3 linked regions of the Astyanax mexicanus genome follow. The protein of the gene in region 3 purifies or fractionates together with the protein of the main gene of each other region. This does not show direct contact. Links are inferred from orthologs where the notes say so. Each region holds a gene or a part of one and is shown on either strand. Other genes may lie near its edges. The genes, in order: sod1, park7 and prdx5.

What was found.
Region 1: the proteins of prdx5 (region 3) and sod1 fractionate together in Homo sapiens (co-fractionation; 3 studies listed by BioGRID and IntAct, with this or other methods). This does not show direct contact. The link is inferred for Astyanax mexicanus from reciprocal best matches to the Homo sapiens genes PRDX5 and SOD1.
Region 2: the proteins of prdx5 (region 3) and park7 fractionate together in Homo sapiens (co-fractionation; 3 studies listed by BioGRID). This does not show direct contact. The link is inferred for Astyanax mexicanus from reciprocal best matches to the Homo sapiens genes PRDX5 and PARK7.

What each region holds. Positions count from the first base shown.
Region 1 is NC_064427.1:36,969,979-36,978,644, forward strand, and holds the start of sod1 (superoxide dismutase [Cu-Zn]), read right to left. Parts: upstream 3,517-8,666; 5' UTR 3,421-3,516; coding exon 3,352-3,420; intron 688-3,351; coding exon 591-687; intron 434-590; coding exon 364-433; intron 1-363. Other genes in the region: scaf4a (SR-related and CTD-associated factor 4), read right to left, coding at 7,478-8,355, 8,602-8,666. UniProt on the Homo sapiens protein: Destroys radicals which are normally produced within the cells and which are toxic to biological systems.
Region 2 is NC_064431.1:4,261,799-4,270,475, forward strand, and holds the start of park7 (Parkinson disease protein 7 homolog), read right to left. Parts: upstream 3,185-8,677; 5' UTR 3,113-3,184; coding exon 3,023-3,112; intron 814-3,022; coding exon 712-813; intron 1-711. UniProt on the Homo sapiens protein: Multifunctional protein with controversial molecular function which plays an important role in cell protection against oxidative stress and cell death acting as oxidative stress sensor and redox-sensitive chaperone and protease.
Region 3 is NC_064424.1:15,663,149-15,671,350, forward strand, and holds the start of prdx5 (peroxiredoxin-5, mitochondrial), read left to right. Parts: upstream 1-4,959; 5' UTR 4,960-5,043; coding exon 5,044-5,136; intron 5,137-5,829; coding exon 5,830-5,964; intron 5,965-7,380; coding exon 7,381-7,512; intron 7,513-7,931; coding exon 7,932-7,970; intron 7,971-8,197; coding exon 8,198-8,202. UniProt on the Homo sapiens protein: Thiol-specific peroxidase that catalyzes the reduction of hydrogen peroxide and organic hydroperoxides to water and alcohols, respectively.

The sequences.
Region 1 (8,666 bases), on a different chromosome or scaffold from region 3:
ACTAGGAGATCAAAATGCAAAAACACGATGGTCTGAATCGATTTTGGGCATTTGTGAACCGATTTAGAATCAACCACATCCAAATCAAATCACCCCTATCATTTATGTTACAATCCTAGCTTAGAAAAGATTAGTTACTTTTTCAAACAAAGTAGTGTCTGAAGCAGTCATATGACTGTGCATAAGTGCAGAAGTGTTTATCTGACTTGCATTTTAAATTAGTTTGTTACACTGAAACCAAGTGCAGATTTTACAGTGTGTCGGTATGCAAGTCAGGACATGTGCAACAATTGGCACTGTATAATCATGAAGAGCAGTACAAAGAAAGTAGGCTTTCTGTGGGTAAATACAAAGTACACATACCTGATTTCATCAGTAGGTCCACCATGGGTTTTGTTGTATGGGTTATAGTGTGGCCCAGCACTGATGCAACCTAACAGTAAAACAGCACGGTCATTACTGTTTGTGAGCATACTTCAAGCAACACATCACAGTGACATGATCTGATTTTGAAGTGAAAGTATTATTAAACATCTCAGTAATTGTAATTAAGCTTTTAATACATCAGAGGGTAAAAAAAAAAAACTCACCATTTGTGTTATCTCCAAAAGCATGGACGTGAAATCCGTGCAGGCCAGGAGTGAGGCCAGTGATCTCACCTGAAACCTTTACTGGAGCACCATCACCCTGAAACACCAGAGCACTTACTGTCAGTCTCTAACAAACACACGTTTTGTTACACATTTGCTACCTCTAGGAACAGAAATGTACAGGATGGCACAGTACTGTACATCTTTTGGCATGCATATGCAAAAGTGACCTTGCAGGACTGTGCAATACCAAACTAGCAAGCCCAGCTCTGTCCTGGGGTCCTCTGGATCCAGTGGAGGTGGTGAGAGACAGGAGATTGAGGTCTAAGTTTTAGTACATGCTAAAGAACCTGTCCCAAACCCATGCACCAGCAGTGTGTGAAGGAGAAATACTGCAAGTCCTTCCTCCCACACACCATCAGACTGTACAACACACCATGCTCTCAGTAAACACTCGTTTACTATTTTATTACTACATGAAAACTACTTGCTCAGTATAGCTGTATTGTGTGCAATGTGCAAATTCACCATGTGTACCATGTTCTCTTTATCACCATTTGTGCAATATGTTTACTGTGCAATATTTCTCACCTTTCATCTACTATTCATTTGCTATTTATTCACTGTTAGTCCTTGTGCAATAATACTGGTCACAATCTACCATAATCATAACTTATCTGACTTTATCTTATCTGCACTATATGTATATACTTAAAAAAAAAAAAAACACACATTTTATATATATATATATATATATATATATATATATATATATATATATATATATATATATATATATATATATATATATATAGATGATATCCCCGATATACATATCAAAGTATAGTCTGTTAAAATGAATGACAGAATTTATTGTGAAATATAGAAAAGTGCATTGTTTAAATTCATTAAAAACTATTTTATAAATTGTTAAACTGAGGGCACATTTTAAAGTCTCTAAATTGATAACCTAACTAAGCTAATGTTAACTACTCACAGCTTTGTAGCTACAACTGTGACATGGTTTTATTGATAGATAGAAGATGAATACTAGCTCCTATATAGTTAGATAATCCACCCTTAATATATATATATATATATATATATATATATATATATATATATATATATATATATATCAGTTAAACAATTATAAAGAGTAGGGGTGTGTCATATTGTATCATTCACAATTATATCGCCAACATTTTTGAATATCGTAAACGTTATTATACCTGGAAATATCGTGCCGTATCACCCACCTCTTATCACATTAGGGTAGTACTTTTAAAGAAACATTCACACTGTTCTCATTGTTCATTATATGTATCTACTAGAGACAGATAATATCTGTCCAGTATCATTTAATTTACTTTAGTCCTGGATATATGGAGATATCTGGAGTGCATAAATAGTACAATGACAATGAGATTTGATAGAATTCTTGTATTTTTATTTTGTATCGTTATCGAGAATAAAAAAAATACCACGAAATACCGTGATATTATTTAATAAAACGAGTTATACGCAATGCTCCAGCTCTAGGCTGTTTAGTTTGTGCATGTTCAACTTGCAAACTCGTTTTTTTGGATGAATTAACCGCACGATGCAAATGACTCAGCAAGAAGTTTGGACTTGGGTCTGCGGCCGTGCAGAGGTTAACTCCCTTTTACCCAGTTTAAACTCTGATCTGGTGATTATGCCTTTTCCCCACACAGCTATTACTTATTACTACACTTATCCAACAGTAGTTAGTCGAGCTAATACTATGATACATGTAACGTTAGGTAATTAGCAGTGCTATGTTTAATGACGAGGAGCATAAACTGTAACCTAACCTAGTTGATTTAACTAGAACTAAATATATAAACCATAGTTTTCCCGTGTTTGTGACTAAAGTGAGATTTATGGAGCAGGAGATTTAGCTTGCATTAACACACAGAAAGGTGCAGCAGGATTAGCAAGGTCTGTATGAAATGCCGCTGCGCTCGTTACAAAACACTTAGCAAACCACACAGCATAGCTGCTAACCACGGGGCTCGCTAGCGGAGGAGGAGCAGAGCTACACCGGTGTTCTGTCAAGTTATGCTACCCATCGAGATATGCTTCCTAAAGGCACTGCGCATGCGCTGACCTACACCATTTAATTATTTCTTCTGTTTTTTCTTTATAATGAATAATTTTTTGTGCGGTAAACAATCTGGCCTCGCTAGCATTGCACAAAAGCGCAAAATTAAATCGACAATAATAATAAATACAATTTACTATTATTGAAAAAGAAAATACAAAAGCAGTTTGTAAAGACCTCTCATTGACATAACTTTAACATGATACAGTGATTTATTCTGTTCAAATATACTAACCCGCATCTAACTTACTGAGAGATCTGCTGGGAACGTTCTCTAAAATTGTTCTTTTTTTGTATTTTTTCCAGTTAAATATAACTTACACTAAGGTAGCGCGGTTTTGACATGGTAGCATAACTCGACAGAACACCGGATACTGTCCTTATATGAGCTAAAAACGTCAACAAATCAGGTTTGGTGATTAAAAAACCTGCAGGACGCGCTCTAAAGCACTAAAGACCCGGGTATTATCTAACATGTTAGTTAGCATTAGCTAGTAACCCAGCTGAAGCAGTGCACACCGCTCGGAGTCTGCGGGCTCGCGCCGAGTTGACACAGCAACTCAGCAGGTTAGCTAGCACAGCCAGCTCGCGCACTCCTGCACAGAAAAGTGTAAAACACCGCAATTATTCATCTACCTGCTCAAAGAACACCGTTCCGGTCACCTCTCCGGTCCCCTTCAGCACACACACAGCCTTATGCACCATGTTTATCAGAGCTCTGTAGAACTGACCCTCTGAACTGAGCTCAAAAACCCGACTCACCGCCCAGCGCTGTTTGATAAGGCGAGAAGCGACGTACTTCTCTCCAGCCAATCACAACCGCGGATCGCAGCGGGGCAGCTGATTGGCTAAGAGGCCAGGCATAAATTAGACCGGTGATGATGATTGGCTAGAAGCTCAAGCGAAAAGATAGCGCGTCGACTGCTAGCTCATATAATCTGATAAAAAAATTATTATTTTAAATCAGATTTTTTTAGGGAAGGCATAATTATATATTAAAATAACATAAATAACATACATTCTGTAAAAAGAACAATGAGCAAATAAACGAATGAATAAATACATAATACATGTGTATCTCCAAAAATTAGAATATCATTGAAAAGTTACTTTATTTCAGTAATTAGTTAAAAATGTGAAACTCATTTATTATATAGATGTATTACACACAGAATTATATATTTTAAGCGTTCTTTTATTGTTGATTATTATGGCTTAATTAGTGTCTCAAATGATTATAATTAGAATATTATACAAACCCTTTGGTTTTGGCAGTGTGGGCCATGTGCCAAGTCCTGCTTAAAAGTGAAACCCACATCTGATGGTTTGAAGAGTCGTAGTCTTCTGCTAGTGTTGGTCCACTGTGTTATATCAAGTCCAAAGTCAGTGCAGCTTTACAAACAAATTTAGGATTAATTATTTTCCATTAACAACACTGATAAATACAACCTGACTACAACAAAATAAATGCAGTGCAGATTTCACTCTTTTTTTAATTATGAACGGACCTGAACAAATCCCTTGTCTTAAGTAACTATTATTTGTACAAAACTCTGCATGTATTTGTCCACTATTTTAATATGTAATTTTCAGATCCAGAATCTTCTCTAAACTCTGGTTAAACTGTCTTAAATAAACATTTGGTGTAATAACTTACTATTAAAGAGTTTTTAGAGGTTCAGAAGTCTAGATAATTTTACTTGGCATAGCATGATTTCCTTATTAGGAATTTGTTAATATATCACATCTTAGCTGTAAAAAAAAAACAATAAAAGCAAATATCGATCGATTTTTTGACAAATTTTATTCAAAACAAATAAATAATTAGTGTGAAAATGATAAAGATCTGATATAGGTCTGACGTACAGCAGAAAGTAGACTGCTTACAGTTTTAACAAGACCAGATTAACCAGTTTCTGCTGTGTGTGCTAGACTGGCTAATCCAAAACATTACATGAATGTAATGTTAGCATTACCATTAGCTACTTTAGAGAGCAATATCAAATGTTTCAGCACTGCAGGTGTTATTTTATTATTTTTAATGCTTTTAAACGGCAGTTATAAACCTTTTAAACTTGCTATTCAGGCTGTATCTCCAGCTTCAGCTCACTAACCACAGTAGCTGTAATGCTAACACCTTTACTGCTTAAAACCTGATTAATTTTCAAAATTGTGATTGGTTATTATTTTAAGCTGATTTTAGCCAATTAACTTAATTCACACCCTTTCAACAATTTAGACTCACTCATGGGTATTCTGCTGTCATTTCTGATATAACAGGTGATACAAGACGTGAGCAGGCTCTCTATAAACTGACTGATTCTACCCAACAACGGAATAGTGGTTAAACTTGTTCCCTTTTTCATCAGTTAGCATTTCCTCTTATTATTACCTTTAAAAGTCATCACTTCCCTCATTTATATTCACATTGTTGCTGTCAAACAAAAACTTAGGATCTCCATTTTTTTTCTCTACTTGTTGTATTTACTTTTTTTTTAATCTTTTCACTGAGTCACACGGTCATGATATAAAGACCAATTCAAATTCTCCAAAATTACCTGAAATAAAAAATCTTTTTACACTGACCTTCAGTTATGAAGATTTGTCTTCTCCTTAAGAGTTACAGTATCTGACAAGTGAGTGTCAAGTAGTCAAAATAACTCAACACACAGCAACTAATATCTAAAGCGCCGGCAACAAAAGTGAGTACAAGTGAAACTGACCAAATTGTTTCCAATGAACCATTTTCTATCCCAATGTCATGTGAGAAGTTAGTTTCACAAGGTGTCAGGTGTGAATGGAGAGCGGGAGTGTTAAATTTAGGTTTTAATCACCGTCACACTCTCTCATACTGGTTACTGGAAGTTCAACATGGCACCTCATGACAAAGAACTATGAGAATGGCCTGGGAAATAATAAGATTGCCAACGCTTTGAAATTTAAATTGCAGCTTGGTGGCTAAAACCATAGAGCAGTTTAACTGGAGAGGATCGACTCAAGTGTCGACCAAAGAAGTTGAGTTCACATGTTCAGCGTAATATCCAGAGGTTGGCTTTTGAAAAGAGACATACAAGTTCTGCCAGCACTGCTGCAGAGGTTAAAAAGGGGGGGAGGGGGGGGGGGGGGGGGTCAGCCTGTCAATGCTCGCTTTGTGAAATACTGCAGCATTTGGATGAACATAGTTTACATCATTTAATAACTAATAAGTTTAGTTTTGTATCAAGTGCACTGTTAATGGTCTGCCTTTACGTATAATTTCTGTTAATAACAACAGGCACTCATTTACTGCCTTCTAATATAGCACAAGTAAATAAAAGGAAAGAATTTGTGCTGGTGAAACATTTGCACGACAAATACATCTACTGAAGGTCACTATAACCCCATCCTACTCAACACAAATTTGCTATGAAGACAAACAACACAGAATATGCTAGGTGGTGGTTCAAACTCATGCAATTACTTATTTTTCAGGAACAAAAATATATGAAAATTGACTCATCTGTGGAAAAAAAGATTTAAAAAATCATCACTTTCATTTACTGTTTGTCAAAATTTCTGAATACTCTAAAAATGTAATGTAAATAATTCAAAAGTATGTCACAATGTAAGAAAATAAGTTTCGTAATATGCATGTAGTAAATCAAATTTACACATCGCCAGAGAACATACAGTCCACACAAAATGAAAAATTCAGATGAGGAAATCATTCAGTTAAAGAACCTTAAAACTAAAGCATCTGAAAAAACAAGTGCTTAGTCAGTTTGTTCATTTTGGTATGAAAATAGTTTATTAAAACCAAATCCCTATTGCTGAAATATTAAACAAGTTCACATCTCCACAAACTTAAAAATTATACAAACATCTCATTTTCGCACGATGTAAACATGGCAAGTTAAAAACATTACAGCAAAAGGGTCTTTGTCTCTTATTTTAGTCAAGGTTTCCTATCTTCTCCATGTTCATGGGGAATACTTCAAAAACACACCTTACCTCCAAATCTACAAAGGTCATTTGAGTAGTGGAAGCATATTTACAGCAGATTATTTCCTTCTTAAATTTTTACCCCCATGTGTTTCTTTTTCTTTCTTTTTTTTAATTTACCTTTTTAGAATGACTGGTGCACACTCTAGACTTAGAGTATATCTGCACTGAATATTTTTTGTATTTTCCTTGGGTCCTACCCCTCTGATTTAACTTGTTAACCAATAAACAAGTTGTTTATTAATCTACAAATGTGTGTGAGCAGAAAAAAAAAACAAATAGAGCAGTGCAAGGGTGGTCCAGGATCAGGACTGGGAAACACTGGTTTAAAGCAACATTCAAGCTCCACAATGGAACACTGATTACAGAGCAGTGCTCCATGTTAGCCAGACTCTTAAAAGTCAATTACAGGATCATTGATTTTGACATTTTAGAAGGGGGACAAGGCATATAATTTATTTCTATAGGACCACAAACCATATAAATCAAGTTGTTTCTGCATCGTTTCACCTCTTTAGCCTGTAGTGTCCAAGATTAGCCAGGACATGGATGTAAAATAAACATACTATCTACATGGCTTTTACCCGATGTTCTTCTACCTTAAATATCTGGCCTTTATTTTCAGGTTTGAACCCATGTGATGCTTGATACTCATGTCTTTCCATTACCATTCTAAATGGTGTTTAGGCAAATGTTCACACAAACATGTGCATCTTGTCAAGTAAGAAAACAAAAAGAACAAATATCATATGGGCATTGCAGTCCAGGGGATAAGCGTAGCCTATGATTCGTCTGTCTTTGTTTGTTCTGCAGGTTGGTTCTGAGTTTCTGCTGCCGGTTCAGAGGGCTGTGGTTCTGCAGTCACTTCGGTGGGAGGGGGCGGAGCTTCTGCCTTGGCTTGAGTAAGTTCTTTAGCAGAGTCTCTAGACTGCTCCGAGCTGCTAGAGTCTCCGAGCGCCTCATGTCCGTTGGGTTGACTGCCTGCGTTGGACTGAGTGCCCATATTAGCCAGTCTGTCAAGTCTGTCATCCTTGTCCCAGCGGGTACTTCGCTCTCGCGTTCCCGATTCCCTGTCTCTGCGTTTGGGTCGCTCCTCACCCTCCCTACCTTGCTCTCGTCCTTGTTCCCTCTCTCCGTCCGGACTCCTTCTCCAGTCTCTGCGCTCCCGTGTCCTGTCCCACCCACCCCTCTGCTCTGCCTCCTCGTTCCAGCTCCCGAAGCGTTCCCGCCCTTCCAACTTGTCCCCTCCACGGCCCTCGCCAAACGACCTGCGTCCACCAAACCATTCCTGATCCCTGTCTCGCTCCCGGGCCGGCCCGGAATGCTCACCCCTGAAGGGCCGTCCCTCAGGATCTTCAGGTCCGTCTGGTCCTCTGGGGCCAGTAGGCCTCATGAACGGAGGCCCTGGGTGAGGAAAAGGGCCTCGCATGACATGTGGAGGGGGATGCATGCCAAATCCACTTGGTGGAGGCTCTCGATGATGCATCATCTGAGGAGGGCCCCTGGGAGCCATCATCTGTGGAGGCATGGGGGGCATGCCTGGCCGTGGAGCCATGGGGAAACGCTGAAGGTGTGGAGGGGGCATCCCTGGGGGACGTTGGAGAGGCATCATACCTGGTCTTGAACCCAAGAGCCCTGGTGGACTCTGCATGTTCATCCCTGTCAGAACAAAAAAAGTTAATAAACATTTTAATAACGTTTTAATATGGCCATAAATACAGGCATCCAGACTAGGGGTGGGCAATATTATATTGTATACAATATATCGTAACAAAAAATATCGTTATATTAAAAAAACATATCGTGATAGAGATTTTTTGTCCTAAAAGTAGTCTATTTTATTTTAGAGCCATATCGCCCACCCCCTATCCAGACACAATTCTACCAGTACTACTAGACACCTACCTTGCATGGCACTGAATCCTTCAGCTCCTTCCCTGTTCATCCTGGAGCCTGGATCATTAGGCTGT
Region 2 (8,677 bases), on a different chromosome or scaffold from region 3:
ACGATAATATCGCCAACATTTTTGAACATTGTGAATGATAGTATACCCTGAAATATCGCACCATATCACTCACCCCTAATTATCACATCATGGTACTACTTTTTGCTGTTTTATCAAAAAAAATAAAGAAATAAATAACTGTTCTCTTTTAACATTATATATCTACAAGAAACAGATTATATCTGTCCAGTATAATTTATTTTACTTTAGTCCTGGATATATGGAGATATATTTGGAGTGCATTTTTAGTACATTAACATTCTGGATCATTGTGTTCTGTTACATATTTGATAAAATTCTCAGTTTAAATCTCAGTTAGGGGTGTGCCATAGCATATGCATTAATACAATAATTTTTTAATTTTGTTTCAGTGGTGTATTCTTGAAACATTTTATTTTTTTTAACGCAGTGTTTTGTTATATCACCAGGAGTATCGTTATCGTGAAAATACCATGAAATATCGCGATATTATTTTAGGACCATATCACCCACCACTAGTTACCCTTATAAATGCTTCTGATCATTTTGAATCGTCATTTCACATTAAACCACTGCAAGTTAATTTTTTGTTTACAGCTATGTGATCCACTTATATAGAGGTATTAAAAAGAGTGAAATTCCATTTGAAAATCTCAAACATTATCATTAGTAAATGCAATACTGTCCAGAGTACAGTACAATGGATTACAATGGAATTTAAGAAATTCGTACCTGTTTAGAGGCTTCCTCTAGACTTGAATCTGGGCAGATAAGGACGTCCCGGCTGCACTGGACTGGTTCCTTCCCTGTTAATCCTGCCACTGTAACAGCAATCTGTGAGACAGTAAAAGAGGTAGAAGCATAAACATATTTATATATATATAACAGTGAACAGTATTTTGTCATGCCTCAATAACCGTGACTTCAGAGAGTGCACAGTTGTAGCGCAGAAAAAGGGCAAAAGGGTCTAAAAGTTGCCGTAATTAAGGAGTTTAATATTAAGAGACATCATGAAATGAAAGAACAATTTGAAAAATCTTAGTTTACACAACACTGTCAAAGATAGATAAAGATAGTAAGTCAAGTAAAATGGTGTGTAAATGAAAGTAATCAGGAAAATTTATTATTTAAAGTGGTATATTTCATTATTTGTTTTATTACAGAGTCTGTGGCCTGTGACTTCACATATATTTCTCCTTCTGGCCCCCAACAAAAAAAGTTTGGACACCCCTGTATTAAATGATTAATTCAAATTGTGTTGTCTTTAAAAAGTGTATAATTGCTTTTTTTATGCTATTCTGTTATGTCAGGGGCATTTAATAGTCTTAAAATTACAAAAATATCGTGTAGCGCAATAATTTCTGTGAATTCTTATCGTGACCGGCCTATTTGTAATTTTAAATTGTGTTGAACGCAAGTGCTTTGTGAGACTGATCCTCTTATATAATATCTATCTGCCCATGGACTGCAAATGACAATTAGCCAATTAATGTGTATTGTCTTTGATACTTAAATAATACAGTAAAATTAAAGTAAACACTGAGTGTCAAGTGCAAAGCCTTTCTGGATGCATGGAACTGCAGAAAAGTTTGTGTCAAAGACTGTTAATATCCTTGATTAATACCCTGAAGAGCCCTTCATGCTTATTTATATGTAGTTTAATGAAGGAGGCTAAGTTGCACTGTAAATGAAAGCCTATCTCACCATGACAGCAGCAGCAGCAAACTTTGACATTTAGCTACACTCCACTCCTCTTCCACACTCTGCCAACTGTCCAGAGTACATACAGTCAGTCTGTGAGCCAGAAACTGACAGACATGGGTCTGTTTTTGTGACCTGATACATTTTATATTGGACACACGCTTGTCTTTCTTCTAGTATCTAGGTTAAGATGGTCTATGCTGGCATTTGATGGTCAAAATGGTTGAAATACGGTTGATCCAGTCTAAAATACACTCTATTATGGTAAGCAAATTGGTTAAACAGCATTGTCTATGCAGTAAGCACTATTTGATTTCTTATGGACATACTTGGGCTTCATGTTGGCATTCAGGTTGACCAGCTAGGTCTTCAAATAACAGGGGTGTAACAATGCATCGCAATGGAAAAAGAAAATATTATGTGCATCACAGGAACAGACGATTCCTTGTTCTGTTACTATGAAATCTCATGCAGTTGCATTGACTGAACACCTCTGGTGCAGGCCAGAGAGCCAGTGGGCGTAAGCAAAGGGCAGAGGACATGTCAATCATTTTAGACTGAAGCCAATCACAAAGCCAGAATTGGTTAGTCAATGATTATTATTGCTATGCCATGCCGTCCACTCTTTTAAAAAAGGTGGAACATTTGATGTGGGCACAGCTTTGCACAGTCAGGTTTATGAGATAGAGTCACCTGGAATTTAGGCTTTTAAGTAAAGTTAACAGCTGTTTAAGTAATGTTCTAATTCATATTATGAGAAGCAGGAACTACTCAACTAAGAAAAGACTTGCTTAAAAATGGCTTCAAGAAGAAATGAAGGTAAGTCAATTTGAAATATTTCAAGAACTTATTCTCAAGAAAATATCCTCAAGTGCAGTCGTTGCAAAGACTATTAAAAATGTTATGATGATGGAAGTGGCACTCATCAGGACCATCCCAGGAAAGGAATAGCAAGAGTTAATCAGAGTTACCAGCCTGAGAAACTGCAAGTTAACAGCTACCTTAATAATAAATAGTCCAGCCAAATGCTTCACAGAGTATTTTGGTTTGTGGAAATGTTCCGTTCCACCTTAAATGGTGTTACGTTCTGGGTTAAATGGTGAACGTAACCGCTTCACCATTTAAGGTGGAACGGGAAAAAATCCTATACAAAGCCTTTATTTATGTTTATCACTTTTGACACAATCCAAATATTTTTATTAAAGCTTATTCACTTATATTGCACTTAAATAATCAGTTTAAATATTCTTGCAGTGGCTATTCCCCACTTGTGTTAGCACCCAGTGCTATTAGACAGCCCTGACAGCTAAGCTAAGCTAAGCTAAGCTAAGCTTCTACTAACCCCAGCTCTCCGCATCACATCTACAGGTATAACCGTCTCCATCTCCTCTGCGCCCTTCGACAGAATCACCAGAGCCCGTTTAGCAGCCATGCTTCAGCAGAGCAGTCTCCCCTACAGAGAACAGAGCAAAGAAGTGGGCTGAAGCTTCTCTAAACAAAATAAAAGTCCTGTCTTCCGGGAGAATGGAAAAACACATGGGCAAGACAAAAGTCCCTCAGATGTTTGAGGTTAATAGTAGAAATTAGGCCCAATATTCTACTATACAAATGCTAGTTAATACGGGTTTTAAACAATATTTATCATGTCCTAATACTCCCAACGTTAAAAAAAAAACTATAAAATTGTAACAGCAGTACAATAACCCTGTTAATGACCTTATATATAAAAGATTCAAAATTCAGACGGGCTCCTGTACTTTTTGCTCTGGAGAGACAGAATCTATACATTTATTTGTTAAATGTTATTATAGTAAGCTATTTTGGTCTGACATCCGTAGTTGGTTGTCGATTAAAATGACTGATATACCTAATTTGACGTATAATGACATAATTTATCATATGGCAACTTGAATGGAGACATTTCAGATTCAGTTTACTCTATACATAATTTCGCCATTTTTTTTCAAGTCACTAGAACATTTTAAGAAATTATTTTGCTTTTTTTTTATTTGACGAGTGCTTTCTTAATTATTATTATTATTATTATTATTATTATTATTATTATTATTATTATTATTATTATTATTATTATTATTATTATTATAGGTTAATTTAAAGGTTGTAACATATATATATTATTTCTCTTTTAATACAGGGAAGATGAGTCCTGTGGTTTATTTCCGACCACCAGACCACCAAAAATCTGACCACCAGAGTGCAGTGCAGGCTATGATATAAAACAGGTCCTGCTTTCAAATCAGTTCTAAATGAATTGGCAGTATTTAAAACTGTGGTTTATGAACTGTAGGCTTACTGTTTAGTTAACTTTAAGATTTAAATCAATCAGTAAATCACATTATGATGAAATTCTTATGAACTTCTTCTAATTATTTTTAGATCCTTGGAGAGCCTTGACATTTAAAATAAGGCATTAATACCTTGAAAAGTTGAAAAAAGTGCACAAGAAGCCCAAAAAAACACTGTATACATCGCATAATGCTAGCTTCAGCTCCGAGCGCTGCCATCACTGTACTGATAATGACAGACATATATATACATATACTCTGCATAGCGTAGCAGCCGGTTCCAGGAGGCAGGCTATGAATGTATATATATATATATATACTACAGTGATGGCAGCACTCTGAGCTGCTTCTTGTGCACTTTTTAATTATTAATGCCACATTTTAAATGTTAGGGCTTTCCGGATTCTACCAAGGAGGTATAGAGCCGAAATATGCCCCGATACGGCTCTTGTACAGAGTGCTGGAAACTGTAGGAAGCTGTAGGAGAGCGGTGGTGGGCAGTGGGAGTTCTCCTTTAAAGTACAATAGAGTATCTTTCAGTGAGGTCTTTTTTGTACATGTTTTTTTTATACCAGTAAAGATTAGAGTGCTGGGGAAAAGCACAAAATTACCAGCGCTCAGAAAGCTGTAGGAGAGCGGTGGTGGTTTATCATGTTTTACTACACCTAAAGTCAATTTTACACTGGAGTTCTCCTTTAATATAAGGTACAGCCCCATCGACAAGCTTTTAAGTGCAAATCTGTACTTATTTTTCTTAGTGTGAATGTGTATATCGGATACCTATAGTGCTTTATACCGAATATGCCGATACATGCAACATCACAAAAACAGTAAATTTAGACACAATTAGCACTCAATCATATAAATAAAAAAATATATATAATATTCATCCAGTATTTCTGAATGTTCAAAAAGAAACTTCCTCACTCCTTCTCTCTGTAAAATTGTAGAGGCACCTTTCCCATGTTTAGCATGGCTCTGCACGCTTCACACACACACACACACACACACAGACAGACAGATGCTCAGTCGCCCATATAGGCACCAGACCACAGTGCTATACAGCAGCAGATTAGACCGAAGCGTGGGGTTCTGGCAGCGGCCTGCTCACACTGTGCCCGTGCCCAAATCCAGCAGGCAGCAGCGATTTACCAGCATATGCAGCTGGGATCTCTGCGAGCCCACCGCGCCGCTCCACATCAGCTCATTTCCCTAAACATAGGCTTTATTTATTTATTTCTGCCCCCTCCACCCCACCCTGCCTTTATATAAGGAGCTTATAGTATGCAAAACGCCTATTAAAGTTGCTTGTAAACCAGGTAACCTGTGAAGGCCCCGGATTAGGCTGCGAAACACTGACGATGCAAATTCACCCGCTGAACCATCTGCGCAGGACGGCGGCGTGGAATTAGCCACAGCAGATGCATCCACCACGTACACTCAACTTTGTCTTGGCTGCTGCGGCGCTGGTTATGATGCACAGGCACTTTCCAAGGCCAAGCAGAGACAGTAGTGAGCATCTGAAATGAGTTTCAGGTTTTTTTTTTTTACTAGTGAGGCCTACCTGTATTTAGTACAGTATGTATTTTACCAATTTCACAACTTCCTCCTACTGGTGTTGTCTCGATACAAAAATATGACTTCTGATTGGATACCTGCTAAAACCAACAGGGTTTTGGAATGGTACATGTTTATACTTCTCATCCAACCACAATCAGATTCACTATACAAAAACATACTTAAAAAATATGTTCATGACCTGGCTGCCCTGTGGAGATGGCAAAATCCTACATATATAAAATTGTATCAAAAACTGTAGAAAATATATAAATAACTTCTGATTATGTGGAGATTACCATTCCTCTATATTTGTAATAATGTGCTCATGTGCTGTTCATTTGCATCCCTGGACACTTGGCACTTTACTGTACACTCTGTACCTTTTCACTCCTGGACACTTTACTGTACATCTTGTACATTTGCACCCCTGGACACTTTGTCACTTTACTGTACATCCTGTACTTTTGCACTCCTGGACACTACACTACGCACCTTACTTAAATTCAATACTTGCACAGGTTTATGTTTAATATTGTCATATCTGCTGATACCTTCTATACTTAAATTATTATTTTACTGCACTACCTCATATCTATGACTGATTACTTTCACACTTTGTATAGTTTTTTTGTATTTATATATTTATGTATATATTTTTAAGTCTCAGTTTATAATTTTATAGTTTAGAGTCTTATATTCCTCACTGTGCTCTTTTATTTTATTTTATAATACTTATTGTTTGTTTCTACTGTGTACTGTTTGTTTCGACTGTGTTGTGTAACTGCTACTGGCTGCTAAATTTCCTTCGGGATCAATAAAGTATCTATCTATCTATCTATCTATCTATCTATCTATCTATCTATCTATCTATCTATCTATCTATCTATCTATCTATCTATCTATCTATCTATCTATCTATCTATCTATCTATCAATCATTCAGAGTCAAAGTTTTAAATTCTGAAAAAGGTAGTGTTACACAGTGTTTGTATGAAATTTAAACAATTATGCTAAGATAAAAAAGGCACATTATATTGATATTGACCCTGATATACAGTGTGGTGAAAGCTTGTATTGTTACTGTTGCACATGTAGTTAGCACAATGCTAAAGTGGTGCCTCAAAGCAGACATGTATACAATAGTAAAGACCCAGATCTGAGTAAAAAAAGTGTTCGATCAAAGAAGTTAAAGAGCTCTTTAAGCAACCACAACTAAGTGGAAGTACCTTTAAGTATACTGTAGAAAGTATATTTTTTTGTACTAAAGTATTCTAAAATGTACGAATAGTACTGTAGTACTGAATGTGAAAGTACAGTAATGTGTTATGTAGTTATTACAGAAAGTCAAATGTTTAAATATCATATTGCAGACAGACAGCAGCTTATAAGATCATGGCTTGATTCGCTCAGCTATGTAGATACAGATACATAATTTTAGTACTTAAGTACAGTAGTGAAGTAAAAATAATACTCCAGTAGATACAGATACAGTATTTAAGTACTTAAGTACAGTAGTGAAGTAAAAATAATACTCCAGTAGATACAGATACAGCATTCTAGTACTTAAGTACACAGTAGTGAAGTAAAAATAATACTCCAGTAGATACAGATACATCATTTTAGTAATTAAGTACAGTAGTGAAGCAAAAATAATACTCCAGTAGTTACAGATACAGCATTTTAGTACTTAAGTACACAGTAGTGAAGTAAAAATAATAGTTCAGTAGATACAGATAGAGCATTTTAGTAATTAAGTACAGTAGTGTAGTAAAAATAATACTCCAGTAGATACAGATACAGCATTTTAGTACTTAAGTACATAGTAGTAAAGTAAAAATAATACTCCAGTAGATACAGATACAGCATTTTATTACTTAAGTACAGTAGTGAAGTAAAAAAAAATACTCCAGTAGTTACAGATACAGCATTTTATTACTTAAGTACAGTAGTGAAGTAAAAATAATACTATAGTAGATACAGATACAGCATTTTAGTACTTAAGTACAGTAGTGAAGTAAAAAAATACTCCAGTAGTTACAGATACAGCATTTTATTACTTAAGTACAGTAGTGAAGTAAAAATAATACTATAGTAGATACAGATACAGTATTTAAGTACCTAAGTACAGTAGTGAAGTAAAAAATACTCCAGTAGATACAGATACAGCATTTTAGTACTTAAGTACAGTAGTGAATTAAAAATAATACTATAGTAGTTACAGATACAGCATTTTAGTACTTAAGTACATAGTAGTAAAGTAAAAATAATACTCCAGTAGATACAGATACAGCATTTTATTACTTAAGTACAGTAGTGAAGTAAAAAAAATACTCCAGTAGTTACAGATACAGCATTTTAGTACTTAAGTACAGTAGTGAAGTAAAAATAATACTATAGTAGATACAGATACAGCATTTTAGTACTTAAGTACAGTAGTGAAGTAAAAAAATACTCCAGTAGATACAGATACAGCATTTTAGTACTTAAGTACATAGTAGTAAAGTAAAAATAATACTCCAGTAGATACAGATACAGCATTTTAGTACCTAAGTACAGTAGTGAAGTAAAAAATACTCCAGTAGATACAGATACAGCATTTTAGTACTTAAGTACAGTAGTGAATTAAAAATAATACTATAGTAGTTACAGATACAGCATTTTAGTACTTAAGTACATAGTAGTAAAGTAAAAATAATACTCCAGTAGATACAGATACAGCATTTTATTACTTAAGTACAGTAGTGAAGTAAAAAAAATACTCCAGTAGTTACAGATACAGCATTTTAGTACTTAAGTACAGTAGTGAAGTAAAAATAATACTATAGTAGATACAGATACAGCATTTTAGTACTTAAGTACAGTAGTGAAGTAAAAAAATACTCCAGTAGTTACAGATACAGCATTTTATTACTTAAGTACAGTAGTGAAGTAAAAAATACTCCAGTAGTTACAGATACAGCATTTTATTACTTAAGTACAGTAGTGAAGTAAAAATAATACTATAGTAGATACAGATACAGCATTTTAGTACTTAAGTACAGTAGTGAAGTAAAAAAATACTCCAGTAGTTACAGATACAGCATTTTATTACTTAAGTACAGTAGTGAAGTAAAAATAATACTATAGTAGATA
Region 3 (8,202 bases):
TTGACCCATTTGTGTGCCCCGGAAGTTACTGCAATTGGAGCTCGAGGGTTTTGGCCGTTGTTAAGGATGGAGAGTTTTATCTTGTTCAGAGGAAATAAACGCGTTGCAGTGAAAGAAGACGATATGACAACAGAAAAAGTCACCGCGGTCACTCCTCTGCACTTAGAAAACGCTCAGTCGCGCTGTCTACTCCGAAAACTAAATTGCGCGTCTAAACCGTGTTTACGGTAGCCGCGTGCACAGCGCACCCGGAGGAGCAGAGGCTCGCGCTTCTCCTGCAGAGATTTAAAATAGAACATAAACAAGTTTTACATCTATATAAACATGACCAGGTCTAATTAACTTAACTCAGATATACCAGAAAGACTGCTGCCTATTTGTAGAACAGTGTAACATTTTGAAAATGTTTGGAGTGCTATTAAATAGGCAATTATTATATCACAGCACTAAATTCTTAAAGACTTCATTCTCATGTCTACCAGATATATGTTTCAAGTGATATTACTGTATCATTTTCGAGTAATTGGATACCAAACTTTATATATTGGTTTATGCACAATCGAATAGACATTTTTCCTAAGTTTGGTATCCAATTACTCGAGAATGATACAGTAATATTATGAGATTGTATAACAGTAGGACTGCAAAATTAGCTTTATGCACCACTGAACAGACAATTTTCTAAGTTTGACATCACATACATCACTCTACAATAAGATAGTGATATCACTTGATACTTATAAAATTAATAGAATGGAATGTTTCCTTAAAAGTGCAATAACAATTTGATTTGCTGGTTTTGTAGGACTCTGAAATCTGGTTTATGCACATACAATTAGACATTTTTTTTTTCTAAATTTGGTATCCAATTACTCCAGTGGAATCTTAAATCAACCAATAATCCCAGTCATTAGAATGTCCTTCAAAGCTAAAAGTGGTGGGGTGGTGTTTGTCAATAACTAGGCAGTGTGTGTGCCACACAATTTTGTTACATTTTGGAACTAAAGAAGCTTCAAATTTGACAGAATTTTAGACAAAAAATAAATGTGTTTTTCTGTAATAGTGAATCTTTTGTAAGCAAAACGCAAAGCAATTCATTTCATTTCTTCACAATTGATCCAACAGCACTCACTGCTGCCTGTCTCAGATTTACAATCTGGCCAATAGTACTTGATTTAAGGATGATGTATTTACAGAAAACGTGTTTTTTTATTATTATTATTATTTTTTTGCCACCCAGTATATTCTAACATAAGACTTTGTTTTCAACATTTACGTGTAGAATGAGTTACACTGCTCTGTGAGTTATTACCAGAGACTGTAAAAAAGATGGACGCCGTGTCTCCGTTCCCATTCATTCAATGAAAATGAAGCCAAAATCTTCCGCCATGTTGGCGATCCTGCCACCTGATTCTGCGCAGTAGAGACCAGAGGAGGGAGAAAGACTGTGGAGAGCAGCCTACTCATTTAAATAACCCCGCCCCCGAGGGCTGCCTCGCGGTCACAGACTGCAGAGCGGGGCGGAGCGGAGCTGACGGTCTGTTATTGGTCCCGCCCATAACCAGCCCTTTTACCATAACCACACGTTTTTTGAATAGAGCTGAATAATGTTTTAAAAACCAAATTCTGTGGGGATATAAAAAATTGACAATATAAGCAGAGGTTACACTAGCTGCTGCATTTAAATAATGGAGGTAGAATTACAGAATATTAGAAAAAAACGTGATTGAATGTTGTCTGTTTTGCCATTGAAACCTATGGGAATGGGTGGAGTTACACAGCTTTCTGCAGCCGAACAGCAGGGGGCGCCCGACCTGTGGTGGCTTCACTTTTAAGAGACGATGCTCTGTCCAGCTATATACAGTCTATGGTTATTACCCTTAACTTGGACTTGGATTGGCTGTTTTTCTGTGGGACTTGCAGACAGGCCTTTTGGTTAGCTGTTTTTTTGTATGTCCAGCTGACAGGCATTCTGGTTCGCTGTTTTTGGGACTAGCTGCCTAAATCTATGATTGGCTGTTTTTTTCTGTAGGTCTAGCTGACAGGATATCTGATTGGCGTTTTTTATCTGTGGAACTAGCTGACGGGCTAGATCTATGACTTGCTTTTTCTTATATGTCCAGGTGACTGACAATCTGATTGGCTGTTCGTTTTCCATGGGACCAGAGCCATAGAGAGAGAGTCGCGACAACGGAAGTTCAAAATCCTTGATGGTCACGTGATTCATGGAGATTTCAGATAGTTCCAGGAAGTTCTTGGTGGGCAATTTGAGCCCATAAACACAGAGATTGCGATTTTGGGGCACTAATAATAATATATAAATAATCCTCAATGAATTATCTATGTATAATGAAATAATATATATATATATATATATATATATATATTATTTCATTATACATAGATAATTCATTGAGGATTATTGTGACCATATATTGACTTATTTAAGGCTTATGTTATTCTGTGTGAATCCAATATTGTAATCCATAAGAGAGTTTTTATAGGCTAAATTTGTATGTTAATTAATATTAATTTCATGACACCGTGCAAATGCAGTCGCTACAAGTAAAATTTTACTTTACAAGTAAAATTTTAGGTTCAAAAGAAGATGGAGAAGTTTTGGCTTGCATATATTTAGAGTTTACTGCAAAAATAACTTAATCAAAGGATACAAAGATCTGCAAATATTCTTAAGTCACCACCTGAATATTTCATGCAGAATTATTTGGATTAAGAAAGAGGAACCACATTATTTGCAACAGCTTTATTATTTTTACAACAAACATGAGATGATATATAACTTTAAAGACTGATATCAGAATATAGAGAGGCTACATATAGAAAAACAAAGTACAGAACACATGTAAATCAACTAAAGGAAAATAGTACATTGCACATGTAAATAAACCAAAGAATCACCACAGATTACATAAAATGGGGTTTACTTGTGTAGTTCGGAAGAATGAACCCTGAGGAATACAAAAGCAGAAAGAGAATAAGAAAATTGAGACATGATTGCATTTAATACATGAATACAATTAAACATTTTGGAAACATTATCTACATTTTACTATTATTATTTTTATTTAATATAAAATGAAGACAAGAAAGATGATTGTATTAAAGTTGTTATATTTTGTATTCATTATTTACTTATTTTATATTTATATAAAACAAACAATAACACACACTTATATTTATTGGGTTTGTTTTTGGCACACTATTACTAGTGTATCTCAGAAAACCTGAATATAATGATTTTTTTTTCTATCATAGTTTAATAAAAAAAATCTGTCAAATTTTATAATCACTACATATAAAGAGACATATCCCAAACTGTTTTTGTTTTACTTTTCTAAAAGCTCATGAAAAAAAAACAGAAATAATAAATCCCTAAAATATTTAATTTAAAACTTAAAATATAAATTGTTAGATGTGTCACTGTAAGCATAATTAATACAAAAGATGACTGTTAATTAAACAATATTAAACATTTCTTTTGAGATGCACTACTATTAAACATAACTAATTATGCTATCTTAAATTACACATGCATTGGAAAGTGTTTATCCTACTGTTGACAATATAGCCTATATCCTTAATCAAACATATATAATAAAATAAATATTGGTCATATCACCTTAAATCATATCTCTGTTAAATTAGTAGTTACTAAGACAAACAGTAAGATAGCTAGTTAGCGTTAGCTACCTGAGCAATAGGTAGCTATCATTTAGCTAAATTCTGCAGTACTACTTAGTACTTAGTTTCCACAGTAGTCTGTATTTATTAAGCATTTATCTCTTGTTAGTGTTTAAAATTCTTTCTGAAATGAATAGAGTTAAGCTTTATTTACCTAGCTAGTTAGGTTAGCATGGTCTACCTGGATATATAAGATATTTATTTAGTTAGCTTAGCATGGTCTATTTGGACATACAAGATATTTACAATATTTAGTTAGCTTAGCATGGTCTACCTGGATATATAAGATATTAAGATATTTAATTAGTTAAGCATGGTATATCTGGATATATAGGATATTGATATATTAGATATTAAGATATGTACTTAGTTAGGTTAGCATGGTCTATCTGAATATATAATATATTGATATATTAGATATTTACTTAGTTAGGTCAGCATTGTCTATCTGGATATATAAGATATTAAGATATTTAGGAATTTACAACTAATAGGCTCTCAGTCATTAATGTTAAATGCCAGTAACTGTATTCGCGTTGTCCTGGCATAGATTTACTCCCCTAAATCTGCTTTTTACTAAAATGCTTCAGTGCACATGTTAGTTTGTTTCTGATGTCCTGATAAAACACAATCAGATTATTTAAGCGTACTAACCTGTAAAAGTGGACCACACATGGTGTATCCTGCTCCAGCTTCACTGTGCTGATAGTATTTGCTGCTAACTTCCGGGAACTATTGACAGGCTCCACGGTCCGCCATTGCTGTAAAAAACTGGTCCATTGGAGTGAACGGAGTTGACGCAACTCTCTCTAGCTGTATAGGTCTATGATTGGCTGTGTTTTTCTGTAAGTTTAGCTGACAGAATATCTTATTGGCTATTTTTCTTGTATGTTTATGTAATTGTTTACCTGATTGGCGGTTGTCCTGTATATCTAGCTAACAGACGATCTGATAGGTTGTTTTTTTCTGCGGGACTAGCTGCCTAGCTCTCTGATTGGCTGTTTCTTCTGTCTGTTTAGTTGACAGGGTATCTTATTGGCTGTTTTTTCTGTGGGAATAACTGTCAGGTTTTTTGATTGGCTGTTTTTTCGTATGTCTAGTTGACAGGGTATCAGATTGGCTGTTTTGTTCTGTGGAAATAACTGTCAGTTTTTTTTAGATTGGCTGTTTATTCTGTTTGTCTAGCTGAGAGACTATCTGATTGGCTGGTTTCCTGTGGGGCTAATTGACTGACTGTCTGATTGGATGCTTTTCTGAGGGATGAGCTGACTGTCAGACTGGGTGTCAGACAGGCCTCTCCTTGCTCGTGTTTTCCGTTGTTTGCTCTTCATATAAAAGCAGATGATCACTCTTTCAGCTGTACTGAGAGGAAGCCGTGCAGTCAGCTGCATCAGAGCCCTTCACACCACACTCACTGTAAACATGCCGATCAAGGTAGGAGCAGTAATTTCCGTAATTATAACTAGTTAAGATGGGTAATAGGGCCTTAAAATAGCTGTGGAGGGACACATGACGATGGGCTTAGTGTGTGTTAGAGCTCCTGATGTGTTTATTTAGTTCAGAACTGAAATACTAGCGGCCATTCTGCCTGTGAGACGCATTTTTAATAGCTGTGCAGATGTGTTTTAATATTGCAGCTGATATTTTTAGAGATGGATGTGCTAGTCACCACGCTGTAGATTAGATTAGAGACAGGCCTGAGTGTAAATATATGTGATATATTCCTGTAACAGGTAATGTTAGCCTAGATATGACTGTCTGACCTGGATAGCTTTAGCTGCTAAAAGCTACATTCAACGATCATGTGAGTAACTATTTGTTTTATAAACGACATCTTTTATAACCCGTTTCATATCCAGCTATCTAAGCACAAACTGAGATCTAGCATGTTGTCTAATAACTTAATATCACGGATTATTTCAATTAAGCACAAAATAAACCACTTTATAGCCTTAAAAATATATAAGCAGAATCGGTCCATCGTCAACAAGCGTTTGTGTGCGTTCACAATAGCGACGTGTTGCTGTCAGAAACAGATGCGGCCTCAGCTAAGCCTTTTCTCCTGAGTGGAGTGGAGTGGGGGGCATTTAGACTCAGTTTTAGAGTCTAATAATGTCTTTGTGACAGGTTGGAGAGAGTCTACCAGCTGTGGAGGTCCAAGAAGGAGCCCCAGATAAGAAAGTGTCCATGGATCAGCTGTTTAAGGGGAAAAAGGGGGTCCTGTTTGCAGTGCCGGGGGCTTTTACTCCTGGATGCTCCAAGGTAACACAGACAAACACACAAGACCTCAACACACAGTGTGTCCAAAAACTGCAAAGACATCTCTTCTACTAAAAATATCCAACTATTTAAACCCATTGACCCCCTGCTATGTCAATCAGTTATTAATCCTAATGCAGAAAAAAATAAAATATTGGAGCATTCATTTGCAGAAAATGAGAAATGGCTGAATAAAAAAAAGATGCAGAGCTTTCGGACCTCAAATAATGCAAAGAAAACAATTTTAAGAGTTCAGAAATCAATGTTTGGTGGAATAACCCTGGTTTTTAATCACAGTTTTCATGCATCTTCGCATGTTTTCCTCCACCAGTCTCACACACTGCTTTTGGATAATTTATGCCACTCCTGGTGCAAAAATTCAAGAACTTTAGCTTGGTTTGATGGCTTGTGATCATACATCGTCCTCTTGATTAAATTTCAGAGTTTTTTAGTTTGGTAAAATCATAGAAAATCCTCATCATTAAGTGGTCTGGATTTTCCAGCTATGTATATCATTTTGCTTGTGGAATCCCACAGGATTTCATGCCAGTGCCTCTGAAATTGATGTTAATTATGACGGTAATGGCATTACATGCTACAGCATCTAAGATGTTAATAAGTCCATAATAAGTCCACCCCTATCCAATCCAAAAAATTATGAACAGCTAGAGGGTTATAATGCCCACCAACTTTTGGGATTTTAGTGAAACGTAGATTGATTACTTTTCGGATGCACTATTGTCATGTTTATGATCTAGAGCTAATTCAACATTAGTACCTACTTGACATTTTAAATATTTTTTTGTAATAATAATAATAATAGTATAAATCTTCAAACTAAATCACTTACCTAAAGACTTTAAAGTTTTACCGCAACTGGTTTGACAGTTCTTGAATTTTAAAGTTGAGGCTACAAAAACATTTAGACTAGAAAATCTTGTATGGGAATTCCATTTAAAATGTCCTACTTGGAACGCAGTAACTCTGACATCCCAGATCAAATCGATCACAGATCTATTTCAGAAGAAATGGTATTATCTGGATATTTAGGCTGTATGAAACTAAAGAAATGTTGCCTACTCAGACAAGAAGCTCCTCAGTCATGTCTGAATTGAAGTTCAATAATTGAACCTTCTGTTTTATTGTGTGAAAATGCTAATGAATAATGTCAAAACAGATAAAGCGTCATTACTTAAAAAGTCAGGACATATGGTTCCCAATTGGATTTGGATACAGAGACCCTTTTTACAACTAGCAAGACATTAAATCAGCATTTCTTGCATTTTAGAGACAGAAATAATGTCTTTTCTCTAGAACACTAATTAAAAAATACAGAATACATATATATGAAAACATTATAGTAATAGTCTTCAGTGTAACCATGTCGCTGTGGTTCTGACACATCCCCTGTCTCACCAGACTCACCTCCCGGGGTTTGTGGAGGAAGCTGGACAGCTGAAGAGTAAAGGCGTGCAGGAGGTGGCCTGCATATCTGTAAATGACGCTTTTGTCATGGCTGCATGGGGCAAGGAGCATGGCACTGATGGCAAGGTAAGTCAGGCAGCCAGGCAGGTTAAAATAATGAAAATCTAATGAGAACAATAGTCTGTTTAGTTTACTGTTGGATCCAGGGCAATTATGCATTATGACTCATTGCTGATGTCAGTTTCTCATAAGGAAACATGAATTAGTTGATGAGGAAACAGACGGTGGGTTATGAGATGCTGGAAGTGTTTTCTTTAACTACCAGTTGGCACACTGATTGCATTTAATGTTTCGTAAGCCATTTTTATCAGTCAGTTTCCTTGTGAAGTCTCCAATGTTTCTCAATTCCACCGCAGTTGTCCTAAAAAAAATAGACAATTGATGATTGAGTCATTGTGGTGAATGACTGTAGAGACAAGGAAGCTTTTAACAATAAAACTGACTATTTAAAACTTCTATTTTAAAACCCCTCTATTTTATTATAGGTACGAATGCTGGCAGATCCTACCGGCGCATTCACTGCGGTAAGAATGTTCATACTTTTGATATTCCGTCACTCAGATTTGTAATCAGTTCTGTTGACAGAAAAAATATTATGGAAACTCCCATGCATGTAACCCTTGCCAGCCCAGGATTGAGCAATAGGATTGTGTGGTTTGTTCTATATTAGCCACTTGTTCCTCATACTTGCAGCTTTATATCATGTATTGATGTCTAAATCAATTCTAACTGCTTCTTTCTACTTTTGCAGGCAGT